2 linked regions of the Lytechinus pictus genome follow. The protein of the gene in region 2 interacts with the protein of the main gene of each other region in a pairwise test. Links are inferred from orthologs where the notes say so. Each region holds a gene or a part of one and is shown on either strand. Other genes may lie near its edges.

Region 1 (16,382 bases), on a different chromosome or scaffold from region 2:
AAACCAGGTTCTCATTTCACAAAAACTTGGAAAAAAAATGCACAACTTCTACAACAAATTTATTATCAGCCAATCAGATTTAAGGATTTCAGTAGCTTTTTACTGTTATTATAACACATTTCATCAAACGTACCCTGTTAGTAACAAAAGTGATATTGATATCAATTTTCTGGGGATACTACTAATATCTCCATAACATCAAACTGTGAACAACTCATGCCCTCGGGTAATCATTCATGTTCTTGATTGATTGATTGATTGATAAAAAATTAACGACACTATCAACACATGCGTGTCATATAAGTGTCGGACAGTTAATCTGGAAAGGTTACTATAATACAGTACAAATTACCCTAATGCAACTTTACAAAGGAACAGGATTATAAATTAGTAATTATCAGTAATAAATTAATACGTTAACTACTTCCCCGGGATAACTTCCCTACTCTTTACGAAAAGAGGAGTAGGTTTTTTAACGTGCAAATGGTGTGGCTCTCCTTTACACGGGACCGACGGCTTAGAGTCTCCTCCGAAAGACTACATTCATGTTCTTGAAAACAAAAAACAAAATCAAAATACACATCTTTAATGTTTAAATCATATCCCCCAAATAATGCTATCTTTTAGTATGGATCAAAGAGGATGCCAGAAAATTCAAGTCAGTATCCAGAAAGCTGTTCATATTAAAATGATTTATTAGGAAATTTGCATCCATAGTGGGTGAAATACAGCAAGCCAAATTATGATATGAATTCTTAAATTGACAAAAGAGTTGTATTTAAAATTGCCTTAGTTGAATAAGATGGTCATATTTTTTGTTACTGTTGGATATTATTTATCAATATTTAACTTTAAGTAAACCAAATACAACCATACTCTATCAAAAAGTCATTAAAAAAATATTGGCTTACATTCTAGCACTTAGGCATACTTCCATAAAATGTCAAGCTATCTGTAGCTTTGCAAGCCTCTTATTGAAGTTCCTGTTTCTTTTTCTATTTTAGAGTAAATTGATGCTTCACTATAAAATAGTACATGTAGAAAATTTTGTTGCATTTTCATGATCTTGCCCCATGCCCCATTCACTTTGTACATAAAATGTAGACAGCTGGCAGCCGTCTGTTTCGAGGATTTTTAAAACATTTTTTTAATTTTTATTTCTCCTCGTACACAGATGGCTCGCTATCGTGCAGCCACCATTAGGGTTAAACAATGCAAAATCCCCCTGACGGGGCTCATCGATTTTTGTCTTTATTTCATAAAAATATATAAAAAGAACTGGACCAAAATAAAGATTATTCCGTTTTGGCATAAAACGCACCAAAACAGGGAAAAATTAACTTAAAAGGGGAAAAAACAGTGACGTTCTTCGGCCGTCGTGCAACTTCACTCCCCTGTTTTATCCGAATTTAATACATAAACATATGGCCATTGAGTCCCTGTACAGATCGAGTTAGAACTTCGGTCTCTGTATTTGGTAAGTGGAGCCAACGGAGTTCAGCGGAACAACCAACATAACAGAGACCGAAGCTTTTGGTCTACATAAAATGTTGCTGTGCTTTAATGCTGAGCTTTATCATGGACTCTACTAGGGCCCATGGCTTTATCATGACATGACACATCAAGCCTTAGAAGTCGGGCATTGGATTAATGTCTTTTTAAATAAAAAACAAAGTGTTTATTAATCCTTGAGATTTGTTTAATATTTCTATTTGAAATGTATTTCTAATATCATTGCTCTCAATCTTCTGACCTAGTCTGCAAGAACAGACTCAAATTTGATACTTTAACCAATTATACCATGTCTAGAGTGAAGACTAGATGCCAAACTCTCTGTCTGAGAGGCAGCCAATGTACATGGTGAATCTAGTCTCACTACTTTAGACTCTGCATTACACACTGTGCGACCTTCAAAAACCAAAGGTCTTGCCTGCAGAGTACTTGTACTTCTGACCATGATGATGATGAACAGCATTTGTCTGGCACCGATTACATGTGAAAAAAATTCAAAGGTGCCAACTCCCACATTATGACACACATTATACACAAAGTCGCTGGAAAAGATGGATCTTTAATTCAGGTTTGAAGACTTCAAGGTTATACTCTAAGAATAAGGAGGTTGGATCCACAACTCTATCCCCATATGATTTTAGGTGAGTACTTGGAACTTAGAGAAGTAACCAATACAATTCAAATCTCTGAAGTAAGAACAATATTACCTTCATCTGAGCAATCTACTTCAGGGTCCCATTTCATAAAGATTTGTTATAACAACAAATGCACAATATCTACATCAATTTTACAAAATATTAGCTAATCAGATTAAACAATTTCAGTAGCTTTAAACTGTTATTGCAAACTTGTTATCATAACAACTTGTTCTGAATATATCCGTGTTTACGAAACCTACCCCAGGTGACCGTGATGAATGGGGAAGGAACCTTATCAGTTGAGAAGGTGCCAGATTTCTTCTCCACAGATGCAACACTTAATGTCTCTGCATTAAAAATCCTCTGATTAAATCAGAATTGAGTGCCCCCTCCTAGATTAGGAACGTCATGAGGGCGGGATCTGTTGGTTGCTGGCGGACTCTGTGGGTAGTTGCCCTGCCCCACTGCTGGGAAGATTCAGAGAAGGCACAGCTCCATGCTGGGGTATGCCCTCAGCAACTTGATAAGATTGCAAGTTTCCCCCTGTTGCAGCAACAGGTTGCATTCCTGGTTGCATCCCTGGTTGGAGACCTTGTTGCTGAGCCTGAGCTGCCTGTGCTGCCTGCAACTGCAACCACTCTTGGTGTTCTATTGCTGCTTGCTCTTGTCTTGCCTGTAAGAATTCAATCACATACATGTATGAAGTTAACACAAATCAACAACTTTCAAGGCCAAGTCCATCTCAAGAACAAGTTGATTTGAACACATACAGAAAAATCACACAGACATGCAGAAAATGTCATCAAAATCTGATGTAAAAGGTTAAGTTAGATAATTTTAAATATCCCTCTTTATTTCAAATACAATTTAATTCACATCCTGGTGGGTGTTTCATAAAGCTGTCCGTAAGTTAAGAGCGACTTTAAGAACGACTGGTGATCCTTTCTTGTGGTAAACAGTATATTCACAGGCGATGGTTTGGCACATAAGAAAGGATCATCAGTCGTTCTTAAAGTCGCTCTTAACTTACAAACAGCTTTATGAAACGGCACCAAGGTCAGTGTGCACATGTAGGAGCTGATTATGTAACCAACAGTTATCTCCAATTCTATGTCATATTTTTCAACTGTGTTTGGATACAGGGGTTATCCCGAAATTGTGGAAAACCTCCACAATTATACCAATCCCTAAGATAAACAAAGCCCGTGAACCAAACGATTTCCGGCCGGTAGCACTAACATCAAATAATATGAAATGTTTCGAGAGGCTCTTTCTTGTCCAATTGTTAAAAGAATCACAGTGTCAAATAGACCCATGTCAATTTGCCTATCGGTCAAAGAGAAGTGTAGAAGATGCTACCCTTGTTTTCCTCCATAAGATATATGAGCATCTCGATCGTGCAAAGTCGTACACGCGATCACTATTTCTTGACTTGTCGAGTGCATTCAATACGATCGCACCTCATTGCCTTGTACAAATGTTGATAGATATGAATGTAAACCCCAGACTTATTTAATGTATCCAAAATTTCCTTTGCTCGAGAATTCAATCAGTTAAAGCTGGGAATTGTCAGTCAAGAGAGTTGGTGACGCAAATTGGAGCCCCCCAAGGTTGCGTATTATCTCCCGTTCTTTTCTCGTTGTACACGAGTAATTACATAGGTACGAAGACATCCCGCAGTGTAATCAAGTATGCCAACGATACCGTGATAACAGGCTACCTGTTCAATGATCCTAATGAATATATCTCACAGATAAATGATTTTGTCAGTTGGTGTGACGATCATTACCTGATATTGAATACCAGTAAAACCAAAGAAATTATCATTGATTTTCGGAAGGGTGATAAAATTCATGAACCACTCCGTGTTCACGGAGATGTCATTGAGCAGGTACATGAGTACAAATACCTCGGAACAATCATTGATGACAAGCTCTCATGGAAGCAAAATTGTCTATCAGTACAAAAGAAAACAAATCAAAGGATGCTTTTCTTGCGAAAACTTAGAAGTTTTCACATCGATAAAACTATACTGAAACTGTTCTATCAATCAATCATCAAAAGTGTAATAACTTGCAACCTGGTATGTACTTTCGGAAATATGTCAAACGAGCAAAAACAAAGAATAGACCAGATTCGACAAATTGCACAAAGGACGATAGGCATGGATTTGTCCCCTGTCCAAGCAATTTACGAAGAACGCATACTTGCCAAAGTACATACCATAATGGCAGACAAGACCCACCTCCTCAATAATTGGTTCCGGTTTAATGGTTCAGGAATACGGCTGTGTCCCCCCCCCCCCCCCCCCCCCCCCGCACACGCCTTTCCCGCTACCGGTACTCCTTTATTCCTGATTCTATACATGTGTATAACTCAAAAGTAACATGATGAGATATCTTCTTCTTCTTCTCCTCCTACTCAGTTCTTCTTCTTTTTCCCCTTTTCTCTCCTTTCTTGTTCTTTCTTTTCCCTTTCTTTCTCTTCTTCTTCTACACTTTACCTTTCCCTCCAGCTTCCTTTCATATTTTCCTACATATCTATCACTCTCTTATGAATGGGTGTTTTGTAAGTGTCAATTTATGATGATTATATACCGCATACTAGGATGGGGGGGGGGGGGTGGGGTTAGCAGCATGCAGACATCTCATCACCTATTTCTTATAATTTATGAATTTCGAATCATGAATTCTAAGGGTTATCAACCTATTGTAGAAATGTTTTCACTAAAGTTGTATTGTTTTTTTATGTAGAGTTAGATTGCTATGATATATTTTATTTTGCATTTTTGTGTGTATGTTATGAGTTTAAAGCCATTGGAAACTAAATTTCTCTGTATGCCTAGCATTCATGGACCAATAAAACAATCTTGAATCTTGAATACTAATATCAAATATTCAAATGCTTCTCCATTACATATTAATGGGCTCTATTAAAGAAAAGATACAATTGTTCAATTACTAAAGCATATCTGTATTAATCTATGGCAGACCATAAAAAAAAATTCACTATAAATTGTGGATATTATTATTAAGTGTAACTCTTTATGTTACACTATTACCTCCCCCCCTAATTAGGCTCCAAATGGCAAACTTTATGTATGTTCTTCCCTTTTGTTGAGTTTATAGTAGCCTTTGAAGTGCAAAGCTGTTGAAAGTACCTTTTCAAAGAGCTCCTGCTGTTGTCTAAGGAGTTCTTCTTCAGGTATACCAAGATTCTCAAGACGAGTGCTTGCTTTCCTCTTCTTTGCTGCCACCGTCTTACATTCCTCTAGAACTGACTTGCACTCTTGCAGGTAATCTCCAAACCCTAGGCTGTCCAATGCTGCAAATCATTTAAAAACAAACAAGAGAAAACCTAAAATTGTGAGCATAAATTTTGACAATGAATGCATGCATTGCACGATGCCAGTCAAATTCTACACATTTTCATTCTGGTCAAATGCATTAACAATGTAACCTGTTAGTGCCTCTGGTGGATAAAGCTTTTCATAAGTTACGAGTGAGTTTACGAACGGCTTGTAACGACATTAGATTCTCATAGGTATTCCTTTAGTTTCTCATCCCAGGTAACCAGTTGTTGTAAATTACTCCTAACTTATGAACAGCTTTATGACCCATCCCCTACTCTGAAACCATTTACCTTGAAGCGCATGTTCTGGCGATATCGTCTTCTTGGCCTGCTTATTGCAAATATCATTTGCTTCTGATGAAACCAACTGAATAAACTCAGTACAGCAATTTAAAATGAGTTCTCTCGCATCATTAGCAACTCTGACATTGGGTAGTAATTCCTTGATCATCTTGTTAAGAGGGGCACGAGGGACAGTTAGCTCATCCTCTGGAAGTTGAGAAGATTGTGAATCTGCCATCGTTACTACCTGCAAAATACGGTAATCAATAGAGTTACATTTATATACTGTAATATATGGTATTTCTAAGCGCTTTACATTGCAATTACTATTACCCAAATAATTGGAATTATTTCAAACACTCCTTGATATATAAGGAAGGAATACCATAACTTTTTTTCTACAAGTATATGTAATGGGGCGATTCCATACGTGTCGTACGGGACATTTTGTCAACAATTTCTAGTCTCTTAGCTGATTGCTTGAGCAATAAAAAAATTATTTTTGGTCAATAATAAAGTTATAGCGGATAGTCATGTGAAAACCTGATTACCGACAAAAAATATTTGATTATGGCTGAATTAAGGGCAAACAAGTTGTGTGTCGACCCGTACGGGACTCAGAAATGTCCCGTACGACACGCAACAGTTTCATCTCTAATTCACCCATGGACAGCATATATTTGTTGGTTGTCATTTTTCATATGTCTACCCAGTAGTACTCTATTATTACCACAAAACAAATTTAAGTTCTTTGTTTGTTTGGACAATAGGTTGAAAAATGTTGCGAAAATAGCTGATTTTTCTAGCATGGAATCGCCCAAAGGCTTCTTGACTGACTACAGGGCTCAAATTAAGAATTCATTGGGGCAATGCAAAGGGAAGGAAGGCAGTGCTCACTTCAGAGGGCATCCAAGGCCATTAAAACAGGGTATCAACAGTAAAATGTTCTTTTCAATAGGACACATGCACTGGATTATCTCAGGGAACAAAGGCCATATTATTTATTTTGTAATTATCTGTGTTACTGTTTGAATATATTTTTGTGTCATTATTACCTTGTAATACATTGCAATTCGGCCTTAGCCACGATGATGTCATGATTTTTATCAATAAACCATTTATCTATCTATCAAAGACAACAAGAGTGTCGCTAAGGCGAGCACATAATACGCCCGCCTGTAACGCGGAAAATGGAGTTATGGTCAAGCAAGAAAAGTGGAAGGTAGCGACTTCACCTTTGACCTTCTGACCTCAAAATCAATAGAAGTACTGGTAATTACTGGGATCTATGCTAGTTCATACACAACAAATTTTATGAGCCTAGGTTAAGTTCAACTTAAGTTAGCGCATTAACAAGGACTTCAGAAGGGTAAGATGAAAACATGTCACTGTGATCTTGACCTTTGACTTTTTGACCTCAAAATAAATAGGATTCCTGGGATCCATGCTAGTTCATACACACCAATTTATATGAGCCTAGGCTAGGTTAAGTTAAACTAAAGTTATCATGTTTCAAGGACTTCAGAAGGATAAGATGAAAACATGTGAGTGTGACCTTGACCTTTTGACCTCAAAATCAATAGGCTTCCAGGGATCCATGTTATACACACCAAATTATATGATCCTAGGTTAAGTTAAACTAAAGTTAAAGTAAAGTTATCACATATACAAGGACGACAGAAGGGCAAGATGAAAACATGTCAGTGTGACCTTGACCTTTTGACCTCAAAATCATTAGGCTTCCTGGGATCCATGCTACTCATACACACCAAATTATATGAGCCTAGGTTAAGTAAAACTGAAGTTATCGTGTTTACAAGGAAAAGTTAACTGACAGACGGAAGGACCAACGGACACCGAGCGTGATACCATACGTCCCGTCTAGGACAGGCGTATAAAATGAAGGAAAAAAAATTGAACTGAATTGAATTAATTCATTTCAAACCAAAGTAACCAAACATATATTGTTTATCATATGCATCACTATAGTAATAGTATACATCAGGGGCCGCGGATCGGTTTTCAAAGTGGGGGGGCTGAGCCAAAAGTGGGGGGGGGCTGATCATGCTAAAAATCACAATCATATGGTCATTTTTTCGTTTTTGTACACGGCTTTGGAAAAAAGTGGGGGGGCTGAAGCCCCCCCAGCTCCCCCGGTTCCGCGGCCCCTGTACATTTACAGGAGTTTACACATCCACTGTTTATAACAAGACTAGAGTAGAGTCAAGAAAGAATACTTTTTACTTCAAATTTAGTTCAATATAAAGTCTTTAAACTTAAGTCTAACTTGTAATGTTAGACTAAGTCTAGAGTAACTAATTAAGATCTATCTTTGACTTTGACTTTGTATCGCCTAGCCCTAACGTTAGGCCTATTATTTCTCTCAAATTTTTGATTTTATGAGGATTTTTGGCACACTAACCATGCTAACTCATGAGAATATAAGGAACACTATCGACTGATTTTTTTTGTGAAATAAAAATAATAATAAAATCATTTATAAAATTATAGGTGCGCAGTCACAGAATTGTGATATCCCCATTGGAAATGTGTGCACAAGAAATTGCACACGCCAGCAATAGAAATGCCATGGTGGTCCGGCTGCAGAGGCTGAGGCCTGAGCCTCTGAGTCTGACTCTGAGGCTGAGCTGGCTCAACCCACTCGGCAAAAAAAAATGAAGAAATAAATAAAACAAAATAGTTTTTAAGGCATGCAATTTGAATCGAACCAACTTGACCTTGCTAAGCTGACGACACCTTGCTATGAAAACGTGCCTGTCCTGAAACCCGAGTTAAAGCTGCAGAAACAATCGAACGAGAGCGAGATAAAGTCAAGGCCGGCGGACCAATCGATGATGCGTCGGTCTCTATGCCCAGGCTAGGCGCGGCGCGGCCAGCCAGACCAGTCGGTCCGGCTGCGGCACCCGTTGTCCCCGAGACCTATATTACGTCATATGTGTTATGGCTGCACTTGGAAGAGCGACGGTCCGAGCCGTTCAAGGCAAGAAGAGGTTAATTCCTCAAAGGGCTGCTTTAGTTTTGGTGAGTGATCGAGATAGCTTTTTAATTTCCATCTCTTTTCCTGACCGTTAGTTTGTGTTTTTAGTGAGTGCAAGAGTTTATGAGCAAATTTGAGACAGTTTAATGAGACATGATTCGTACCGCGACGGGCCGGGCATGCGCATGCAGCAGAATAGGCCATGGGGCCTATCCTACCGGTACATAGCCTCTTGTCGAGGCCCTGTCGGCTTCTTTCCGAGCGAACATGGCAAAGCACGGGAGAGAGCGAAGCAGAGCGCCGCGAGACAGGGCCTCTGGACATCTGTACCGAATTTCACCGACTTTCTTTTGTTTTTTATTGTTTTTACCAATTCACCGACCAAAAACTGGTCGGTGAAAATCATCCAATGAGGAGCGCGAGCTGCTATGACGTCATATTAAATATTCATGAGCTCCTCTTGAATGGCGACCCTTGGATTCTTGGCGAAGAGTGACGACGAAATATCAAAGAGCACTGAATACGCCTCTAAAACGCTGAATATTGACCGATTTAAGGATTTGCAAGTCGATGAAATTAACTCTGCACTGAAAGGACGAGATGTCTTTGTAAATCTACCCACAGGATATGGAAAAAATGTAATATTTCATGCGATTCCACCGGTCGATCCGGGGCGTCGATTATCGATCTCCGCTGTGCAGTGCAGTGAGGGAAGCTGGGGGGAGTTGCTGGGAGTTGACTCGAGTCTGACCAGCGGCTGAGCAGTATCTCCCGGGAAGTTTCGGGGCGGTGATGGGTCTGTTACGGCCAGTAGTAATAGTAGTAGTAATAGTAGTACCACTACTTGTAGCATTTTGCTGGTTATATCCCCTTTATTGTCCCGCAATTAAATGAATCCCCTGCAGAATAGTGGACTACTATATAGTATTCCGAACCCAAGACGAAACAGCTCTGACATTTCATTGGTTTACTCGGTGACCGGTAATATCATGACTCATGTATATTCATTAGGAAGACGTTCCTCATGAATATATAATTCAGTTCAGATGTCAAGAGGCCCTGGCTCGCGCCAGGCCTAATTCGCTTCGCGAATTAGGAAAGCCCTCGCTTCGCTGGGGAAGCAGCCGCCAGGGCCTCGACAAGAGGCTAACCGGTACACGGCTCCGGCGGTGCGGCGTAGTAGGCGGCTACGGCCTACGCCTGCAAAGTGCAGGCTGCGCTGAGTCTTGCATCATGTCGTCGTTGTTTGCTCCACCATTACGGGCCCAGTGGCCGTCATCGGTCCATTGATGGAGGGAATACCGTGGAGTCAGGGGCCTGTTGCATGGAAGGGTCTTTCGTAGAACCATTCTCAGTAGAGGCGCTGGTCCAAAAATTGGGATTGTCCCAGAAAACAAGGATATCCTCATAAACCAAGACAAATCATGTCTTGATAAATTGAGACTGTCCTTGTTTATGGGGACGTTTTTTTTTCACTTCCCCCTACGGGACAAAGACAGCAATTACGGGAATTGTGAGTGCTAAAAATAGATTCAGTGACCTCAATTCCCCCCAGTTCACCGTCTATTTTTCATGACTTACCGTCTTCCAATAATCATGTTTTGAAACCTGATAATGTTTACATTGACTAGCACACTTGATTGGTGTCGGCACTTGACAGGTGAATGAACTTTCCTAGATTTCTTGTGTGAAGAAATCCTTATAAACTGAGACAGTCCCTGTAAACTGGAACGATCCCAATTTTCTGACCAGCGCCTCTACTGATTCTACGTAAGATAAGAACGAGATATCGCCCAACTTTTTCACAAAGCCGATTTGGGCGATACGAAGAATGGTCCTTGGAAAGACACCTCCAGACATGTCCTACGTAGGCATGATCTTCTTTGCACACTGCCCGCCACCGTCGGCATTGAGAGAAAATGCGTTTACGGCAAGCCACACTGACATATCACCTCTAAACATTTTTGGGGTTGCACACTGATGCATTTTATCTTGGATGGCGCCAAGTTATTTGTTATAATATGGGGGCTAGTTGTCATCAATTTCAGGTCGTCTTTTTGCACGGCAAGACGACCAAAAAACAGATGTCATTTTAACTTCTCCGGGCAGGGTTGGCACGTTTTAAACGGTGTGTTTTAAAACATGTTTTAAAACGCGTTTTAAAACACCCGTTTTTTTTACAAAAAAACGTGTTTTAAAACACCGCATAGGCTTGTGTGTTGTAAATTTGCATGGATGTGATTTTAGATTAATTTTTTAAATACTTTTATTTCTGAAGTGGTGTACTATTTTCTTTTAAGTTATAACTAATAAAAACTCTTTCTCCCAACTCTCTTTCTCTTTCCCCCTTTATTCTCCCTTTCTCCATTACTTTATCATGTTTCTTTCCTCCCTGTTCAATTGTGCACATCATTCCATATTAATAGAGTCTATATCTGAGTGTTGTGCTCACTTTTTGGACAGGGAAAGAAACACTATTTGAAATAAGCTCAAATACATGTATACTACATGTAATCGTAGTACTTCAATGAAATGGAAGTGTTGCACAAGCCTATATACTGTAAACAAATACAATGTAGACTGTAAAACTGACATTGTACTCTTGAAGTACACACGAAAGCAGGTGAAACTTTGCGCTTTGTATAGATGAAGAAAAGTAATTTAAACAGAATAAGATAGTCAGCTAGCAAACCTTAACCCTAACAATCCAAGGGGACCTTAACCCTATCTTAACTGGGCTATTTCAGACCGGAATATACTGATTGCACAATAACCGCAAAAATTTGCACGCGCGTAGAGCCGGATGTAAACTTCAAGACTGCATAATAAAATTTTCCCAAAAATTGATAATTTATATTTTTTTATTTATGCAAATAAGGGTATGAAATTTTGCCTAAATTAGTTTTTTTGTGTATGTATTTGCCTTTAACTCAATTTACGTAGCTAGTAGAATGCTAATTTCTGGTGGCAGTATCAATTTTTTAAATTTTTTTTTAACTCTTATGTATTTCTTTGTTTTTGAAACTTTTGTTTTTATTGTTTTTTCAAATGAACTTAGTCGGGGACCCTTTTGCAATCATAAATAGCATGAAATAAATCCATTTAAACCAAAAGTAAAAATAATCATACATTTATGATTTTTAGTTGAAAAACATAATTCAAGGCTCGACATTAGTGGTGGCCCGGTGGCCCGGGGCCACCAAAAATTCACCTCGGGCAACCATTATTGATAAAATGTTAAGTTTTGGTGGCCCGAATCGGGCAACCAATAATTTTCAAAGTAGCGCAATTTTTCTCCCAATTTTGCACGCATTTATCAACTTTCTACAGCTCAAATTGCAAGCCAGTTCGTCATGCGCCTTTTTTGTTGATCTACACACAAATACACACACACACAGTTTGCATATTAGGCCTACAGCTATAGCATACAGTAGCTATTATCCAGCCAGCCGCGCCGGCCGGCTGGCGTGAGCTTTGCATGAATCCACTGCATACAGCTGTACTGTGCATGCTCTAGATCTAGCTCAGCCTATTCAGACTCAGGGAGCTGCGATAAAAAATGTTGCTGCTGAGAAATCTTCCACAGAACTTTGAAAATCTAAGTCAAAGTCACCTTTTACACCAATGAAATGCAATTCTACAGTCTATATTACGAAAATCTGGTGTACCCTGATTATTTGCAAGTATTAAGAAGAGGAATTATGACCTCTCTTTTGACTCAAAAAGACCGATTTCCACATGAATTAATACACATAAAAACACATAGGCAAGTACATCACAGTCCCACGTGTGCATTTGTATGTATGTTGATACTTGGTTTCTTTCGAAGCTGTGTATTTTCTAGCCTTAAACAAACAGACAGTTTCTTTCTTTCTTGTTTATAAATGACTTCTTAAACCACTCTTGAGAAAGTAAATACTTTGGGAAGGCATTTCATTGATATGAAATGAGATTTTTTCCCCAACATTTTGGCAAATGTAGGGAAGGACTTTTCTCACACTTTTTTTCCAGATATAGTTTTTGCCGTTTTCTTTTTTTTTCTTTCATTTTTTTTTGACAGTGGTTAAACCATTTATACCCCTTCCCATTGAATATGCCTGATTAAAAAATATGTTTCTACTGAAAATAAAATAATACAATCTAAAGGATATAAAAATAGAAATGTGCCATTCCCAAAAGGTAAGTGAAAATTATATGCTTGGCTTTTTATTATATTCCAGTCAGAATAGACTTGCCACAGCTGTTAAAAATATATGTAATGGCTTCTTAATTTTCCCCTTTTCTCCATTTTTATATTAACTTTGTTTTATTAATTTTTCTTTCATTCTCTTTTCTTTTTTCTCTCAAATTTTTTTCTTTTCTTTTTTTCTTTTTTTCCCTGTTCTTTGTTTTTTTCTTTCTTCATTTTCTTTCTTTTGTGTTATTTCACTAATTTCTTTTATTATTTTTGTTTTCTTTTTGTTATATACTTTTTGAAAATTATTTTCGTTTGTTTCTCCCTTTTATGCATTGTTCTAATTTTGCAGCATATTTTTCTGTGATTTTCTCCTTCTATAATATGCTGCATAAGAGAAAACAGAAATAAACTGGATTTGGGGCATGCATAATCTAGGTTTTAGGATTCAAAGAGGAAGGAAGGAAAAACCATTGTTTTGTACATCTATCTGGGTTTGCTATGCACTATTTATTTACTTTACCATTATCTCTATACAGAGATTTTAAAAAAAGTCCACACAACCTGCGAACAATACAATTCATTTATTCACTTTCAATCATTTCATTTTTACAACGATAGAAACAATTATCAATTAGCAAAGTAAAATAACAGCAAACAAGGTTTACATGCAAGATGTATAAAGTGAAAGGAACTTAGTGGTAGTGGCTGCAGAATTAATATTTCAGAAGTTTGTTTTATTCATTTTTAATGTTTTTCTTTATATTTTTCGGGCCACCAAACTTTAATATCGGGCCACCAAAAAAAAATATTTGATGGTTTTGGTGGCCCGAACGGGCCACCACCAAAAAAAGTTAATGTGGAGCCTTGCATAATTTGCATATAGACTTTCAACACGGAATCACATTTTTGAGCAATTTGCTGAGAAATCTTCCACAGAACTTTGAAAATCTCAGTCAAAGTCACATTTTACACCAATGAAATGCAATTCTACAGTCTATATTACGAAAATCTGGTGGACCCTGATTATTTGCAAGTATTAAGAAGAGGAATTATGACCTCTCTTTTGACTCAAAAAGACCGATTTCCACATGAATTAATACACATAAAAACACATAGGCAAGTACATCACAGTCCCACGTGTGCATTTGTATGTATGTTGATACTTGGTTTCTTTCGAAGCTGTGTATTTTCTAGCCAAAAACAAACAGACAGTTTCTTTCTTTCTTGTTTATAAATGACTTCTTAAACCACTCTTGAGAAAGTAAATACTTTGGGAAGGCATTTCATTGATATGAAATGTGATTTTTTTCCCAACATTTTGGCAAATATAGGGAAGGACTTTTCTCACACTTTTTATCCAAAATCACCAGATATAATTTTTGCCGTTTTCATATTTTTTTTCCTTTCATTTTTTTTTGACAGTGGTTAAACCATTTATACCCCTTCCCATTGAATATGCCTGATTAAAAAATATGTTTCTACTGAAAATGAAATAATACAAACTAAAGGATATAAAAATAAAAATGTGCCATTCCCAAAAAGTAAGTGAAAATTATTTGCTTGGCTTTAAATAATTATATTCCAGTCAGAATAGACTGTTGCCACAGCTGTTTAAAAATATATGTAATGGCTTCTTAATTTTCCCCTTTTCCCCATTTTTTTATTAAGTTTGTTTTATTAATTTTTCTTTCATTTTCTTTTCTTTTTTCTCTCTAATTTTTTTCTTTTCTATTTTTCTTTTTTTCCCTGTTCTTTGTTTTTTTCTTTCTTCATTTTCTTTCTTTTATTTTATTTCACTAATTTCTTTTATTATTTTTTTTTCTTTTTGTAATATACTTTTTGAAAATTATTTTCGTTTGTTTCCCCCTTTTATGCATTGTTCTAATTTTGCAGCATATTTTTCTGTGATTTTCTCCTTCTATAATATGCTGCAAAAGAGAAAACAGAAATAAACTGGATTTGGGGCATGCATAATCTAGGTTTTAGGATTCAAAGAGGAAGGAAGGAAAAACCATTGTTTTGTACATGTATCTATCTGAATTTGCTATGCACTATTTATTTACTTTACCATTATCTCTATACAAAGATTTAAAAAAAAGTCCACACAACCTGCGAACAATACAATTCATTTATTCTCTTTCAATCATTTCATGTTTACCATGATAGAAACATTTATCAATTAGCAAAGTAAAATAACAGCGAACAAGGTTTACATACAAGATGTATAAAGTAAAAGTAACATAGTGGTACTGGTAGTGGCTGCAGAATTAATATTTCGGAAGTTTGTTTTATTCATTTTTAATGTTTTTCTTTATATTTTTCGGGCCACCAAACTTTAATATCGGGCCACCCAAAAAAATTATTTGATGGTTTTGGTGGCCCGAACGGGCCACCACCAAAAAAAGTTAATGTGGAGCCTTGTTTATTGTTTGAACTATACAATATTTCAATTTTTACGAATTTGATGATTAGAAACTCCTTGCCTGAAGCACAAAATGTTAAAATAATGGAATTCCACGTGTTCAGGGAGGAATGAAACTTCATTTCACATGACAATGACGAGAAAATCAAAATATTTCATATATCATATAATAAAATACAAAAGAAATAGTGAGTGAGTGATGTCATCAGTTCCCTCATTTGCATACCCACCGAGATGTGCATATAACTGTTTTGTGAAATGAAGCGAAACTTTAAAATGTCATAACTTTCTTATTTTACATCCGATTATGATGAAATTTTCAGTGTTATGCTTGTTGAATTTTTCTCTTTTTATTCAAATCAAGTTTTTGTTGGGGTGGACTTGTCCTTTAATAAAAAACGTTTTTTATCACAACCCTGTCTCCGGGCATTATGTCCGGGGGTAATGTAGGCCCAAATATTTTTTTAATATGTTTTCTTTTATTCTCCGTCCTATCCCCACACCATTTCCATTTTTTTTTTGAAATATCGAAAAATGGGCGGCACTATCTCTCTGACCCCTCATGCTTTGTGCAAAACTAAAATAAGATTGTAATGTTACACAGAAATCAGCAAGCGAGATTGAGATACACAACTCGTTCTTCATTTAAAATCGCGTGCTCAAAATGTCAGTTTTTCCAATTGGAATGTAAAAATTTTCAGCTCGCGCTTCGCGCTCGCATGCTATCTTGAGCAAAAACCCATACTTTTCATGATTAAATAGGTGAATAGAATGTCCCGTTTTCAGTTCTAAACCTCAAAAGAACTCCTGCTTCGATTTGCAATAATCTTTTGTTGGATATATATCTTGTTCTTTTATTAAAAACGTCCATTAAACTGTCATTTTTTTAAGATCGAAATATCAAAATTTTCAGCTCGCGGTTCGCATGATATCTTGAGCTAAAACCCATACTTTTCATGATTAAATAGGTGAATAGAATGTCCCGTTTTCAGTTCTAAACTT
Region 2 (16,382 bases):
TTCTTTTCTTCTTCTATCCACTGTTTCTATAACACTCCACATGGTGTACCGTAAACCACATCAGCGAAAGTGTGTTTTGTTAAAATGTCTAATTTTGTAATTGTAGTCATGGAGCCATGACAACCATCTTCTATTCAGTCTTTGCAACGACCACATGAAAATACAATGATCTTTGAATAATAAAAATTTCTACAATAATCGACATGCCTTTTTTTATATTATCGGGTAAATTAAGGTGTATGGAAGGCAAGGTTTTGTTTCATGTTTAACCTAATTTTCTATGTAAAATTAAAAGGTTTTAATATAATACAAGAGCAGAAAACCCAACAACACTCATAAAATAAGAACAATAGCAAATATATTGAAATGAAGATGATAATGATAATGGAATATTAATGATAATACTGGTGATGAGATAATGATGATTTATAATATAATGATTTAAATAATGATAATAATAAAAATAAACACAAAAAATATAACAGAATAATAATAACCATTATCATCATCGTCATTATCATCATCACCATCATCATCATCATAAAAATGATAACGAAACAATACAACAGGAATAGTCAAAATTATGTAAATAAAAATAATGAAAGAAACGAGCAAAAAGAATGTGTCACCCCCATCATGACTTTTTGTCCATGTCCACGTGAATGGATGTTTTAGATTATGTCAAATATTGTAATAAATTGATGGATAAAGAAATAAAATCGTGTTTACCATTGTGTCGAGCGAATGTAAACGAAGTTCGTATTCGGGAAGGATGTTTTCATTCTCGTTGATGTGCTCGAGTGCGATCTCGGCTGATAACTTCGAACTTTCACCTCGCACTTCCTCCCCTAAGCTGATCGTCATCGGAAACAAGCCGAGAATATTCAGGATTCTCTTTCCATCCACGGATGACGGGGTCGAAAGCGATGAGGACAATGTGCTCTCAGCTGACGTCATTGGTGTCGATTCACTCGAGGGCGATGTCGACCTATACCATGTGGTGTCCTCAGTCGTGAAGCTCGAAGGTATGGAAGTCGTGGTCATCGATATCTCTTCGTTCGGCGTCTTGTTCCATGAGGACGTCGTGATGGACGTTGGTAATTCAGGTGTTATCCAGGATGGGGTAGTCGTTTCATTCGTCGTCTGGCTACTCGTCGTCATTCCCGATGTCATGGTGACTAGAAAGAGAAGCGCGATCATGCCTGACTTTGACGAAAACATCATTATCGGATCAAAAAAAAAACTAAAGTGATTTGAAGAGCACAGAGAATATTTAAATCATAATCCTATATATCGACGAAGCATAGATGTATTCCTTGATTGAGTGGTCACGTGAAACCAGCATTTACTTTATCGGCAATTACTGTCTCGATTGAAGAGTAGCCAAAGCTTCATCTGATACATGTCCAATCTATATGATGGTCTGATGCGAGATGGTTTGCTCTGGCTCACCGCTTCCTTATAAGTTCCCTATCATGCCTATCGTATATATCTTTCACTTTCCTCGCTCCGATAGAATATCCGCTCGCATCACTCCACTATATCTCATATTCTTCGTCTCTTTCTTCTTCTCTCTGTCATCGTGCTTTTGGTTGAACACAGCACGGTGCGATACCGTGGACTAAAATGGCATTTTCCCAACAGAAATACTACATTTTTACTACAGATTTCACATAGATCCCTCCCTCCCCCACTCCCCCTCCCCCTCCTTCCCCCTTCTCTCTGCTCACGCAGATGAAACATGAGATGGTATATAGATAGATTGAATCGTTTTGTATATTATTGTATTTTTGAAACAAAAAGGAGACGACTATCGTTCTCGACGGTAAAGTGGTAATCTTTTACATCTAAGAAAGCGAAGTCTCATTTTTATCTAATTCCGATTGTCGGCTTTATGCATGCATGCTAAGCGACTTTTCGCACTTTCTAGCATTTGTATATCTAAATGTTTACTCATCCCGGCAGTCAAATTGCATTGGCAATGTGGCCTAATTGATCTGATAACTTCCAATTTCTCGATCATGGCCTCATATCCTGCGAATTTAATGAAAATGGTTCCCTTGCAAATATTGTATGAATTAATGTTATGAAGAGTAAAGTGGGAGTTAAGTATAGGGAGGCATATAACGCATATAGGAAGGAGGTCTGTATTATAAGACTGCATTCTTCGGAATGACATAGACACACACAAAAAAAATTCAAGAATGTATGCGAGGGGTAAATGAAACAAAATGGCTAATGTTAATTCGAGGGTCTTTTGAAAATTTTGATTCGTATTGAAAGGAACAGGTGTAATAAGTTGGTTAGATTTTGTGAAGAATTGCAACAAAAAAATATTAATATTTATTTTGGGAGGGTGTTCCGCCCTTTTTACCTCTCAATTAGGTACGATTTGTAGGAGTAAATTGCCAATTCGTCTATTGCCAACTCGTTCACCCATTTAGTCTAATGTCTTTCCGTCCATCAACATTTCGTCTAACAACCATTTAGTTCAATAACCATACAATTTTGGTCCAATAATCACTTCGTCTAATATTTCGTCTCATACCTATAGTTGGTCTAATATCTCTTTTCCATTTTATTTATTTCTCCCAATCAACACTTAGTCCAATTAGACCAAGTGGTAAATGGACTAAACGGCTATTGATTGTACCAACTGAGTTAGACGAAACAGCGGTGAGTAGGCATACAGTTCAAATGGGTGATGGAATTCATAGGAGAGTCACGTATATTAGCACTTCAATTGGTCTGCTAAATTCATGTAGGGTTATGTTTAAGTTCTTAAATGGTTTGTAATAATTTCATTGAAAAAAATACAAAAGGATTTTTTTTCTTTGTGAAAACCAGTAGGCCTAATAGTAGATAAGATTAGAAAGATGGTATATTTAATTTGCAAAAAGCGTTTTTCACTAAGCACATTTCATAATTATTAGAAATTTGTTATTTTAGTTTTTTATATAGGCCTACACGTGGAGCGTTGTGGCCCAGTGGATTAGTCTTCGGACTTTGAAACAGAGGGTCGTGGGTTCGAATCCCAGCCATGGCGTAATTTCCTTCAGCAAGAAATTTATCCACACTGTGCTGCACTCAACCCAGGTGAGATGAATGTGTACCCGGTAGGAAGAAATTCCTTCAATGCTTTGAGCGCCTAGGTAGCCCAGCTAAAGCCGGGGTAATAATAATAGCAGGGCCCGCTGGAAGAACAGTTTTCGGAACTGAAGCGGCTTCCCTGGGTAAATATACCTGTATTATTATTATTATTATTATTACACTGGCTTGTATCATGCTTGTATCAAAGGGTACACTTCGTAATTCCGAAGCTTCGTAATTCCGAAGGTTCTTTATTCCGAAGGTTCGTAATTCCGAAACACGTAAATTGCCTGTACCTCGATGTTCGTTAATCCGAAAACGAAAAAGGGTTCGTTAATCCGAACATTTGTGGCGTTATTCCGAAGGTTCGTAACTCCGAAGGTTCGATAATCCGAAAACGAAATAAGGTTCGTTGTTCCGAAGGTTCGTTAGTCCGAAAACGAAATAAGGTTCGTTAATCATTTCGTTTTCGGACTAACGAACCTTCGGAATTACGAACCTCATTTTGCTTTCGGATTAATGAACCTTCGGAATTACGAACCTCATTTCGTTTTCGGACTAACGAACCTTCGGAATTACGAACCTTATTTCGTTTTCGGATTAACGAACCTTCGGAAATACGAACCTTCGGAATTACGAACCTTCGGAATTACGAACCTTCGGAATTACGAACCTTCGGAATAACCGAACCTTCGGAATAACAAAGCTTCGGAATTACGAATGTATGCGACACGGCATGTAGCCTTTCACAAGTTGGTATTTTCGTGAATATTAATTTTTACTTTATCTTGGTCATGTTAGTGTGGGACAAAATTTGCCGACAGTAAACAGTTTGCGTGACTACAGTACAGGTTTTCGACAAATAAGGTGGGGTACCGTTGAATTTCACCTGGAGCAAATATCTCCACTTATATATATTTCGCCAGAGCGATTTTGACGCTAAAAATGGGCGCAGTGGCGTAACTACGGGGGGGGGGGGGGGGGCATGGGGGCAAAAGAAACGTAGTGGGAAAGAAGAGATTATTGTTCATTATAATGTTTATGTTGTTATATTACATGAAAAACATTTTTTTTCATAACTTTATGAAACTTAATTTGCTCAGGGCCTTTGTCTTCATTGTTCCTGGTGCTCGCATTGTCTGTTTAACGAGATATATAACCATGTTGTACTAAAACCTCCCGTTTTTAAGTCAATATACACCAATATATTTCCTTGCACTTCGAGTTAATATTGTTTTTCCTGACTACTTAAAGTGATTGCGCCATTTGAAGGTCTTAATATAAAACAATTGTTTTTGTACTGTCATAACAATTACATGAGAACGCGTTTTTTTTTTCATTTCAATCACCATTTTAATATTGTTTTATGTACAATAGTCTGCTTCTTTTTCCTGACTACTTAAAGTGATTGCCCCATTTGAAGGTCTTAATTAAAACAAGTTTTTTTGTACTGTCATAACAATTACATGAGAACGTGTATTTTTTCTTCATTTTAATCACCATTTTAATATTGTTTTATGTACAATAGTCTGCTTCTTTTTCCTGACTACTTAAAGTGATTGCCCCATTTGAAGGTCTTAATTAAAAACAATTTTTTTGTACTGTCATAACAATTACATGAGAACGCGTATTTTTTTTTTCATTTTAATCACCATTTTAATATTGTTTTATGTACAATAGTCTGCTTCTTTTTCCTGACTACTTAAAGCAATTGCCCCATTTGAAGGTCTTAATTAAAAACAAGTTTTTTTGTACTGTCATAACAATTACATGAGAACGCGTATTTTTTTTCATTTTAATCACCAGGCACGAAATAAAACTTACTCAAATGCTCCCCCACGAACAGGGACCTGGGAACGATTTTTTCAGTGGGGGTCCTGAAATCTCACCTCAAAGGTGGGGGGGGGGGCACAATTGAGTTTTCCATAATTACACACACACACACTTCTAAGGGCACCACACACACACCCTCACACACACACATATATATATGTATATTTTTTTTTTTTGGGGGGGGGGGAATTTCATGTATTTTGTACTGAAAATTGAACATTTTGAGCAATGTTTGTGGTCCTGAACAAGATGCTTATGTAACAGATAATAACTGCGAACGTTATCAGCGTGAGCAGATATTTTTAATATACGCTCTGGCCTGATCGAAAGGGACGTGTTATAAGGATTGTTTGCCAGGCGCGGATCCAGGAGGGGGCCGAGCCGGCCCCGACCCCCCCCCCCTATTTTTTGACAACCTGCAGAAAAATGTACTCTTTAACTTGATAGAAACTATGAAAAACAGAAAGAAAAGTAAGAAAGAGGTATTATACCCATGATGTGTAATTCACAGCCTCGTAACAGCCGGCCCGACCCCGAAAGGTAACAGGAAGAATTGGAAAATAGACTTTATATAAAAAATTCGCTGGCGCTTCGCGCTCGCATTGCCTGTGTAATGAATCCCATTCAAGAGGATTAAATGGCACTTAATATATCCAGTTCTGAAATCAATTTGCACACGATATTTTAGCTCGCACATCAAGCTTTCATTATTTTGTTTGATTTACACAAATTGTTAATTGATACCAAAATTTTTAGCTCGCTATGCGCGCTTGCATTGTTTGATTTGTGAGATACTTATCCTCTTTGGAAATTCTTACCAAAATTTGTAAAAATACTCCTGTATCATGTCAGTATATCAAAAAATTAAGCTCGTGCTTCGTTTTTTAGACACACAGCTTGTTCTTTATTTTAATAAAAACGCGCTTAGACAGTCCAGTTCTCAGGTCGGAATATCAATAATTTTGAGCTCGCGCTTCACACTCTCATTATTTAATTGGTGATACTTGTATCCTCTTCATTAATCACTAAAAACAATTGAGTCCCTTTTCACGTTACTATAATAAAATTTCGGCTCGCGCTTCGCGCTCGCATTGTTTAGTTGGATAATATTGTATTGTTAAGTTGAACATATCTTTGTTCATGATTATAAAAACTGCTCAGAATCTTCAGGTCTAAGGACATAATATATCAAAGAATTTGAGCTCGCGCTTCGCACTCGCATTATATATCAATACCACATGAGATATCTTCTTTATAACAATAAAAACTAACATATACTTAAAACTTCAGTCTTTAGTTCGGACTACCCACTGAACCCCCCCCCCCCCCAAAAAAAAAAAATCAGATTATAGCAGCCAATCGAGGAAAATGTTGATGAAAATATTTTTCGGCCCCCCCCCCCCTATTGGCGAAAGCTGGCCTGGATCCGTCCGTGTAATTGCAGTTACCCATTAAGACGATACATATATCAACAATCAAATAATGCGAGCGCGAAGCGCGAGCTGAAAATTTTGACATTCCGACCTAAATACTGGACATTCTAAGCACTTTTTGTAATCATGAACAGGATAGGTATATATATATAACTATACAATTGATGTGAGCGCGAAGCGCGAGCGGACACAAAATTGAGATTTCAGACCAAAAAACGAGACATTCTAAGGACTTTTCTAATCATGAAGAGGATAGGTACATAATTATACAATTGATGCGAGCGCGAAGTGCGAGTGGAAATAAAAATGAGATTTCAGACCTAAATACAGGACATCTTAAGCACTTTTCTAATCATGAACAGGATAGGTATATAACTATACAATTGATGCGAGCGCAAAGCGCGAGCGGAAGCAAAATTGAGATTTCAGACCTATAAACGGGACATTCTATTCATGTTTTGTAAATCAAGAAAATGATGGGTAATTTGATATATTAATAATGTGAGCGCGAAGCGCGAGCAGAAATTTTTTGATATTCTGATCTGAAACTCCGCACTGAATGAAATATGGTTTGAACAGATAAAGAAAAATCAGACGAACATAAGAATAAAGATTTGATCAAAACCCGACAAGGAAATCGAAGTTATTGCATTTTAAAGATTAGCCTTATTCCGGTGAAACAGTTTTAAGCATGTCTTCATTTAATATTCAATGAGCAAACTGATGATGTCATATCCCCACTTGTTCTTTTGTATTTCATTATATAGAATTAGGTTTATTCAATATTTTCCCTTCAAGAACCAAAAACAGTTGAATTGACAACTGATTTAGTCCATTACATATTCTTTGCTGCAACTTATTTCATTATAAGGGAGACATATCATTCACACTGGTATGAAAAAAAATGAAACAATCTTGATTCCTTGTAATAACACAAGAAACAGGATAGTGGGAATTTTTTTTGCTTGGCAAATTTTCCAGGCCCTGGTCCCACTACCTTTGGGGACAGATTTCCGCCCATGTCAACCCACCTATTTAATATTTTTATTACATTTCTGTCATTTATCATACCTACCACTAGCTTTCCAGGAGGTGCTGCCTGTGGAAAATAATCAAATTTCACAGTCTTTTTCGCCCTGCCCCATGGCCCTGAAAAGCGGGGGTGCTGGGGATGAAGCACCCCCAGAATTTGGGGGTGCTTCATCCCCAGCACCCCCGCTTTTCAGGGCCATGGGGCAGGGCGAAAAAGACTGTGAAATTTGATTTCTATTGTCTGACTTGTAATTGTTAATACAAAACACTGGCGGTCGGGCGCGCGCACACTTGATTAGACATAAAATCTGGAAGTTTCAAGTCCAATCACACTCATATCCCATATGTCCCTCCCTGCTATCGAGTAGTGTGTAAACTATGGTAATCACGTATCGCGTGCGACCACGTCTGTATCGGAGTGCCGAGCGCGAGCTTGATTGAGTCGCGTTATAGGAGCGATGTTATTGGAATATGTGAAAGACTCTGTAAATGACTTGCGATTGTCGGATGTGATAATTATGTACATTATAACATATTAAACAAATACAGGGGGAACCTTATTTGGTAGGGGTGCTGCCTATGGAAAATAATACACGCAGCACCCCCAGCACCACCGCTTCCCAGGTCCCTGGCACGAATGAGAATTAAGAATATCTATCCCTCTTTTGTGCTTATCCCCTTTTTTCTATTTCTTTCTATGCTATGTATCAGGGGCCGCGGAACCAGGGGCTGGGGGGCCGCTTCACCCCCCCCCCACTTATTTCCAAACCCGTGTACAAAAACGTAAAAATTACCATTATGATTGTGATTGTTAGCATATGGTCAGCCCCCCCCCCCCCCACTTCCGCGGCCCCTGTGTATGTAATGTAATATATCATGCAAGCATAGTTTAAGTTTACTTTGCAATAATTATTATAATATACAAATTTGTAAATTGACGCCTTCAGCCTGTGCTACAGTATTGTTATGCACAAGAAAGTACGAATAAATTGTCGCATTATCGGAGCAATTTACGGCGGAGCAAATATTGACGGAGCAGATGTCGGCGGAGCAATCGTCGCGGAGCAATTTTCGGCGGAGCAGATGTCGGCGGGGCAATTATCGGCGGAGCAATTGTCGCGGAGCAATTGTCGTGTAACCGGAGCAAATGTCGGCGGAGCAAATATCGGCGGAGCAAGTGTCGACGGAGCAAATATCGGCGGAGCAAGTGTCGACGGAGCAAATATCGGTGGAGCAAGTGTAAACGGAGCAACTGTCGGCGGAGCACTTGTCCGGAGCAATTGTCTTATTTTGCGTAGCAAATGTCGGCGGAGCAATTGTCGGGTCACCCCCAATACATCTCAAATAGCCCAAGGCCCCATCCCTTTTAGGGCTAAGAAAAAAAAAAGTCCCCCCCCCCCCCAGCTTCGTGCAATTAATGCCGCTATTTTTTTCAGTGTGTGTTTCACGTTTGCGTGTAACAAGCATGCACGATGTGTACAAGTACGGTACCGTACATGTACACAGTATACCGTACCGGTACACATAATTATCGGGTATCATCGCATTCCATTTCCACATCGGCCAGCCTTTGACGCGACTCGACTACGAATTTGTCTTTGTAAGGTACTTTTTCTTGTATGGTAAGATATAATTGTGAATTTCCGTGCACTAGATGATGAATAATATTTAGTTGTAGCTTATAATGTTACTAATTTTGTATTTTCCTCTCTTTTTATCGCCGACTTTGCGTGCTTTGTAAGTAGCCCAATCGTTAGTCGATGTTGTCTGAGCGGTGTATTGGCATAGCGTGATTGGTTGGCGGTCCGTGCAACGGCTGTCAATGCATATGGTCATTGGCTCTCGCTTGCTCGGCCAACAGCCATTGAAAATTCCCCATTTCTCCGATGCCAACTTTGGGCAAATCACACGTTATGTGACCTCACAAAGGTGTCAATGGACTCCCAAAATGTTATGCTATATCTACAGATTGAGGATAAGGGAATGTTTTATTCAGATACACATGATTATTGGCCAAAATTGAAGATGATGTTTCCACTAAGGATTCAATTCGCGCCGCTTCTGATAATGACAGTCATTGACAAAACATTAACAGTGATGAATTAAAATGTGTGATTTACATACATCCAGACGTATGTGTGGGACTGAGTTTAAGAATTGAGTTGGTTTTTTATTCTCCTTTGTTAATATTCTTCGTGATGCTTGTTTGAGCAGGGAGAGCATTGGATATCAAAACCTTTGCCTTTCTACATTGTTCATTATTTATTTCAATTACCGGGCAGCTGGCAGTAAAGTCTAAAGACAAAGTTAGAGTTTCTGATCATGACATTAGTCATTAGACTAGTTAAAAGTTTTGTTATTTATTAAATTTAATGTTTTAACTTAAAAAAAATATGGTCTAACGACACGTTAGATCATGTTTAACCTTGGATCTAACTTTAGTAGATCAATATAAAAAAGATTGTGAATAAAAAAAATTAATGAACACACATACAATTCAGATCATCTTGAGCATGTTGACATGGTTGAGGGGTCTGTTTCATTAAACTTATTGCAATAACAGATTTGTAATAAACTGCAGTCTGTAATTAGAGCTACTGAATCTTTCAATATGAAATAAAATAAATTGTACATTTCTTTTTATAATTATTTTATTTATAGGGCCCCTATATTATTTATTTTCAATTTGATTGTTATTTATTTATTAAGATTAATCATTTGTATATGTATACAGAACAGCAGGGCAAGTCTTTATGAAGTATAAAATATGTAACTCAATAATGCAATGAATGTAGAACCTATATTACTGTTCAGCGCTGAGGTGATGATTCCACCCCCCCCCCCCCTTCCCTTTCATTCCCATTTTTCTATGTGCAATATTGGAAGATATTGGAAGATATTCTATGTTTATGTCTAATATTCTTTGATCTTATGTATAATTATTTGATGTCTAATTTTTAAATTTACAATTCTCACCACATTTCTTGCTTTCATCGTGCATAGAGACCTGTAGGCGTTATGCGTATTTAAGAACTGTACAATTATTATTATTTATTATGATTTATGTCATGGGAGTGGCATGTGAGAGGGTGCATCACTAGCGTATCCAGCACATGTAGGCCTACTGTATGGCAAAGAAATGTATGGGCCATTCACAAGCATAATAGAGTCACTATTGTCCGCAGACAATTGCGCCCCTAAAATGCTTTGTAGGATCTGATGCTAGATACGCCGCATGCCTCCAGGTAACATCAGTACGATTATGAAAGTTCATCTGTGTTGGTAAAAGATAACAATTTTGTTGAACTTTGGTTCACAACACAAAACAAAAACCAGAAAATAACGAAGAGTTACCTCGAAATTTTCGGCTGCTAACTGCAACCTTCGTCAGTGATGTGACCCGATTTGACCTTAGTGACGTAATGGTCGATCGGGTCGTAGACATTCGGAAGCTTGTATCGCCCCCCCGTCTCTGTTGAGAGAAGGTCTGAACGCCCGGATGTAGATGGCCTCTTTCTCACCTTTCTCGAAGTACCGCGGCTCCCTGTCCAGCACTTGTACCTTGTTGATGTCAACACGATGGCCAGGGGATTCGATGTGGATGTGCTGAGATACCTCGGAGGAAGTGGAGCTAGGGTGTCGATGTTCAAGGAAACATCAGTCATCAGTGTTAAATTCCACTTTTGAGCCTCTTGACGTAACCCATTTACCACTCCCACATTTCTTTGTATGATTGTTTCTCTGATGTATTACATGAATAAAGTGTTTTTTATATCGGTCAAATAATGATTATTATTACCGGTATTATTTTTATTTAGTAACCAATTATATTTATTCACAATCTACTCATCAAATTGCCAATTGGAAGTTCTTGGTAATCTCATTTGTCAAACATCAATTTCTTTTCTGTTTCAAAATTTCACCTCTCTGTTTCTTTTATTTTTTTCTCTTTCCACACATTGAGGCTATAAAATTGGATTCCCCTTTTAAAATCTATGTAAAATTTCATGTTATACCTTTTGTGTAGGCCTATACTGTAGACCCTGCATGCACTGTGTACATGTAAGTGACCCAATTTATCTTTGGCATTGGGCTCAAAATTTGAAGCTATTTTAAGGTGCTTCATAATTTTTTATTTCTATTGACAACAAATCAACACAAACAAATCATTCTTGACTTGGACTTATAACAAGGATTTGTATGAGATTATTTGTTTTGTTTTTCCCATCTAGAGTTATGGATTCCTCAGACGGTCCAACAGGCAGTAACCAAACTGAGTCTCAGATGCATCATGAACAGTTCTGGGAGAGACAGATGGAAACCATCAGGAACTTGAAGAATGTAAGATAGGCCTACCATCTTTAACCATAAAGCTGTAGTTTCTATGGTAGCCTATAATATAGGCAATTGTTATTTTTGCTTTTACCAGTCTGATGCTGTTTTACACAAAACACAAGTGATACGTCTGATGCACAAACAGTGAAGCAACCAATGCCGACACACACTACTGTCTTGCTTTTAGTAACTGTTTTCTTTTTATCTACATGTATGAACGTATGTTTCCAGTGCTTCATACAAAAAAAACCTGCACTGAATCATGGTTAAAAGAAAACAAAGACTTTAAAAAAAAATGGGAGTGTATAGGTGGTTGCTGCTTCACTGTTATAGGCCTCAGCACCGGACATATTGCTTACGTTTAGAGTGACAGCAAAAGATATACATGTAGCTGCAGCCTGTGCCTAGTGTTAATGAAAGATTGACCCTTGCCAGTCTCTCTGGTTGGTGGTTTGGGTCTTGCTATAATATTGGATTAAAAGTTTTCAGTGTAGTATTTCAAATTATCTGAAAGCCTCTTTCAGATCTGATACAACAAATCTCACCACATGTTTTCCATAGTGCTCAATTGTTGTGAGACAAATCATATGACTTATGTACCAAATGCTTTAAGTCTAAAAAGATGGTTCAAAGACGTTTTATGTCATATGAATTCATACCTGTTGTGCTTTCGTTAAATGATTAATCTATTATATAATAACCCACATTGATTGATTTCATGGCAATGTTCTTCATTTTATTTTCCAAAGTCATCAAGATCTACATGTATGAAATCTCCCCAAATCAGATTTCACCATATTATATACCCTTGATGTTGCTGCAGTTGTAAGATGAAATAAAAAAAATACCAATTTTTTTATCTCAGATAGATTGATGGTTCTGCTGATGTTTATTTGATCCGTAATCAAACATTACAATGAATAAAATGTTAGATGCATATATGTGGAGTCAGTCTGCAACAGATGAAGTTAAAGTGAATAATTAATTATTTTGTTGAATACTCTGAAATTTTCCTGCCACATGTCAATATGTCTTTTCATTTACGATCATAATATTTTGACAGAGTGATTTCAAGAAAGCGCAGGAACTTCCGTTAGCCAGAATCAAGAAGATTATGAAGCTAGACGAAGATGTCAAGGTATATAGTATTTATGATATAATTCTAAATTGGCTCTTTGTAATGATTAGTAATAGTACAGGACAACAATCCCTTAAATTTTATGGTATAATTTATTTTTATAGGGTATAGTCCTGCAGAGTAGAGAGGGCCCTTGGGGACTTGGTGGGGTGTGGAGAATGCTTGAAAACTTTGTTGTTTTTAATATTAATTATAATACTTTAGATGGCATTTGTAATGCGCCAAATCCACTCTGCAGAGTGCTCAAGGCGCTGATTGTGGTAATTGTCATGATATGGATGGGGGGGGGGTGAACAAATGGTGACTCTCTAAGATTAAAGGTAAATGCTAGTTTTGGTAACGATATCAAAATGAGTTCGTACAGAATCCAATGAAATGACCACCAAAGTGTCTGTTTGTATAAATAAAACGCATGTGCCAAAGGATTCTGGAAGAAATTGTTTAATTGCTGAGAAATCAGCAAATAAGCACAGGATTCGGGTAGAGCGTCGGGGCCCGACGCTCAAAGCAATAATTATACACAGTCCCACGTGCGCTTATCTGTGTTGGGGAAGTTCAGTCTGAACATTTTTCAGCGTAGATTTCAAGATTTCACAAAGTTCAGTTTATGTAACTGTACCAGATCTAGATCCTCGATGATATACTGACAATTAAGCCTGGTTTTACAGACTTTCTCATGAAATCAGTGTTTACTGCAACTACTGGAATTTCTCTTTAATATATGGTTTCTTTTTGAAATATTGTTTTTTTGTGTCATGTAGTATATAATTTTGAATGAATTTCTGCAAAACGGGTTCATCTGATTGCTTTGATAATATTCTAAATCGGTCACTTTATCCAAAAAATCAGCTCAGTTTATTCCCTGCATTACATGTAGCTGTAATTTCATGAAACTGATCATGAATTATTTCTGGAATTATGCATGCTCACACAAAATATGCCTGAGGTTGATTCAAAGTATTGTTATGTTCATCAATTACTTTTATAATTTCATTTTCAAATTATTCTTTATTGAAAAAAATGAATTGATGAGAATCTCATTTACACTGTATGATAATGAGATACTGTTCCTGGAATACGAGTCTAACATGTACTGATGAATTAAACTTATTCCCCTTATATTGTAAATACATGTATACATGTAGATTGTCATTCATTATAGTTAATCATTCAATATTGTATTTCTATCGCTGATGTGGTTTACGGTTTATTGTATTTCTGTTACTACCCATTATACAGATGATAAGTGCTGAAGCCCCAGTGTTATTTGCCAAGGCTGCTGAAATCTTCATTACAGAACTCTCACTCAGAGCGTGGCTTCATACAGAAGAAAATAAAAGAAGAACGCTTCAGGTTTGTCACATGACCCCATCTTACAAACAGTCGTGTTTCATCATGGATCCTTTCCATGGTTTGATCCATTCAAATCACATGAATCACATATTTACATATAATATCTTTTATTTTACCATTTGATTTCATTATAATAATAATAATATTCCGCATTTATATACCGGTAGCGCTTAACACATCGGAACGACGTCTCTAAGCGCTTTACAGATATATTATTACCCCGGTAATCGGATCCTTGCATGCCCGCATACAATGTATGCACCTTTTCCACTCCCTGGGGAGCATTCCAACAAGAGTTCCAAGACTCAATTGCTAGGCATACTACATAGGCTTTCGCATCCTTCCGGGTACCCATTTAACACCTGGGTGGAGAGTGGCAAATTGTGGATTGACGCCTTGCCAAAAGACGCTAGGCCATGGTGGGAATCGAACACACGACCCTCTGATTACAAGGCGAGAGTCAGAACCGCTACACCATGGCGCTTCTACATTCTCGCATTCTTCTTGTCTATTTATGCAATATTTGATTTAATGTGATTTATAATTTCACTTACACTCAGAACCCCTTTATGTAATTAGATCCATTATAATGAAAATCTTTGTGTAATTCAATCTATTATGAATATCTTTGTGTAATCGTTCTGTGTAATTTATGTATTGAATGCATTTTTTTTTTATTTATCTACTCTGTATAATATCTTTGTATGTTCTTATATTTTGTAAACGTATATTTCAGCCACTGGCTGCCAATCATTTATTGCCAATAAACCATTACTATTCTATTCTATTAGAATATTTGCAAAAGTTATCATGCATTTATGGACTTCAGCTCAAAACTGAATTTGTGTTGGGTTTGTACACAACTCGTGTTTTTTTAGCAAGTTATGGTATGACGTACATGTACACGTGTTGTGTGTGAGACACAACGGTAAGGAGTAATGGAATGTCAAGGTGAAAGCTTTTCATGTTACAGATTTTTTTTTTTTTAAATTCCCCAGTCCACCCCACCTGTGCAGTTAGGTTTAAATAAATTATACATTTCACACATTGATTGTAATTTGTATTGAAATTTTATTCGAATCCTGTGAAATCTGATGCTGGAAGGGGCTATTATGTTTTCACATACCATAACTTTAATTGAAAGATTGATGCTATGACAGATTATGTATTCAAGTGAACATGTTAAAACCAGACAGTGTGGTGTACAAGATACATTATTTTGAATGTATGCTCAATTTGTTACACATCAACTCTATGTGTTTCTATCAACAGAGGAATGACATCGCCATGGCAATCACCAAGTATGATCAGTTTGATTTCTTGATTGATATTGTACCCAGAGATGAACTCAAACCACCTAAGAGATCGGTAAGCAATTATTTGTTAACATTGGGAATCTCAGATATGTTGCCCACAACAGAATCATATTGTCCATAGCAGGCCTCAGTCATTACGTTTAACAGTATTTTGAAAAACAACCCAAACATTTAAACGATTTTAACTGGCGGGTTTTTTTTTTTTTATTCCCCAAAAGTAGCTGAAATTTCACATTTCACGTCTTTCCATATTTTCCATATGATTGCTTTGATTTTAGTTTGATACCATCTAGAAAATGAAGAATATTCCCTTCTTTCTAGACTCTAAAAGATAATTTGCAGTCGATGTCACACACGATCTACTACATGAAAATCTACATGTGGGACTGCAACACTATAGTCCCACATTACTTATCCTGATGCATTGATTTCTTATACTGATTCTCCTAGTGATGTTTTGTGTAAACAGGAGGGTCAGCTGCAGCAGACGGCCATACCGGCCGACCAAGTCCAGTATTATTTCAGCGTTCCTCAGCAGGGTCAGAACCAAGGGTCAAGTACCGTGCAAGTCCAGAACACCGCTCCTACTGTGGTCAGTGCTGCTAACACCTCAGCCGGTCAGCTTGCTACAACTCAACCACAAGTTCAGGTGACCTTTAGCTCTCGATTTAATATGTTGCCTTCCAGAGCTGGTTGCTCTCATTGGGTGGTATTCTGATGACCATGGTTTAATTAAACCTGGGTTAACTTGGACCATACTTTTATGGAGTGCCAGTTGTCAACTCATTCATCAATTAAAATTATTCTTATCCTGCTGCAAAAAGTTATCAAAATGTTAATTGAGTCGTGAAA

What was found.
Region 1: the proteins of nuclear transcription factor Y subunit gamma-like (region 2) and protein Dr1-like interact in binary tests that used the Homo sapiens proteins (3 or more experiments, as listed by UniProt). The link is inferred for Lytechinus pictus from reciprocal best matches to the Homo sapiens genes NFYC and DR1.

Annotation. Positions count from the first base shown.
Region 1 is NC_087259.1:25,477,820-25,494,201, forward strand, and holds protein Dr1-like, read right to left. Parts: upstream 8,776-16,382; 5' UTR 8,522-8,775; intron 6,031-8,521; 5' UTR 6,022-6,030; coding exon 5,793-6,021; intron 5,475-5,792; coding exon 5,311-5,474; intron 2,824-5,310; coding exon 2,557-2,823; 3' UTR 79-2,556; downstream 1-78. UniProt on the Homo sapiens protein: The association of the DR1/DRAP1 heterodimer with TBP results in a functional repression of both activated and basal transcription of class II genes.
Region 2 is NC_087261.1:4,122,023-4,138,404, forward strand, and holds the start of nuclear transcription factor Y subunit gamma-like, read left to right. Parts: upstream 1-8,600; 5' UTR 8,601-9,010; intron 9,011-11,620; 5' UTR 11,621-11,624; coding exon 11,625-11,729; intron 11,730-12,786; coding exon 12,787-12,861; intron 12,862-14,100; coding exon 14,101-14,214; intron 14,215-15,486; coding exon 15,487-15,582; intron 15,583-15,999; coding exon 16,000-16,179; intron 16,180-16,382. Other genes in the region: gamma-aminobutyric acid type B receptor subunit 1-like, read right to left, coding at 730-1,224. UniProt on the Homo sapiens protein: Component of the sequence-specific heterotrimeric transcription factor (NF-Y) which specifically recognizes a 5'-CCAAT-3' box motif found in the promoters of its target genes.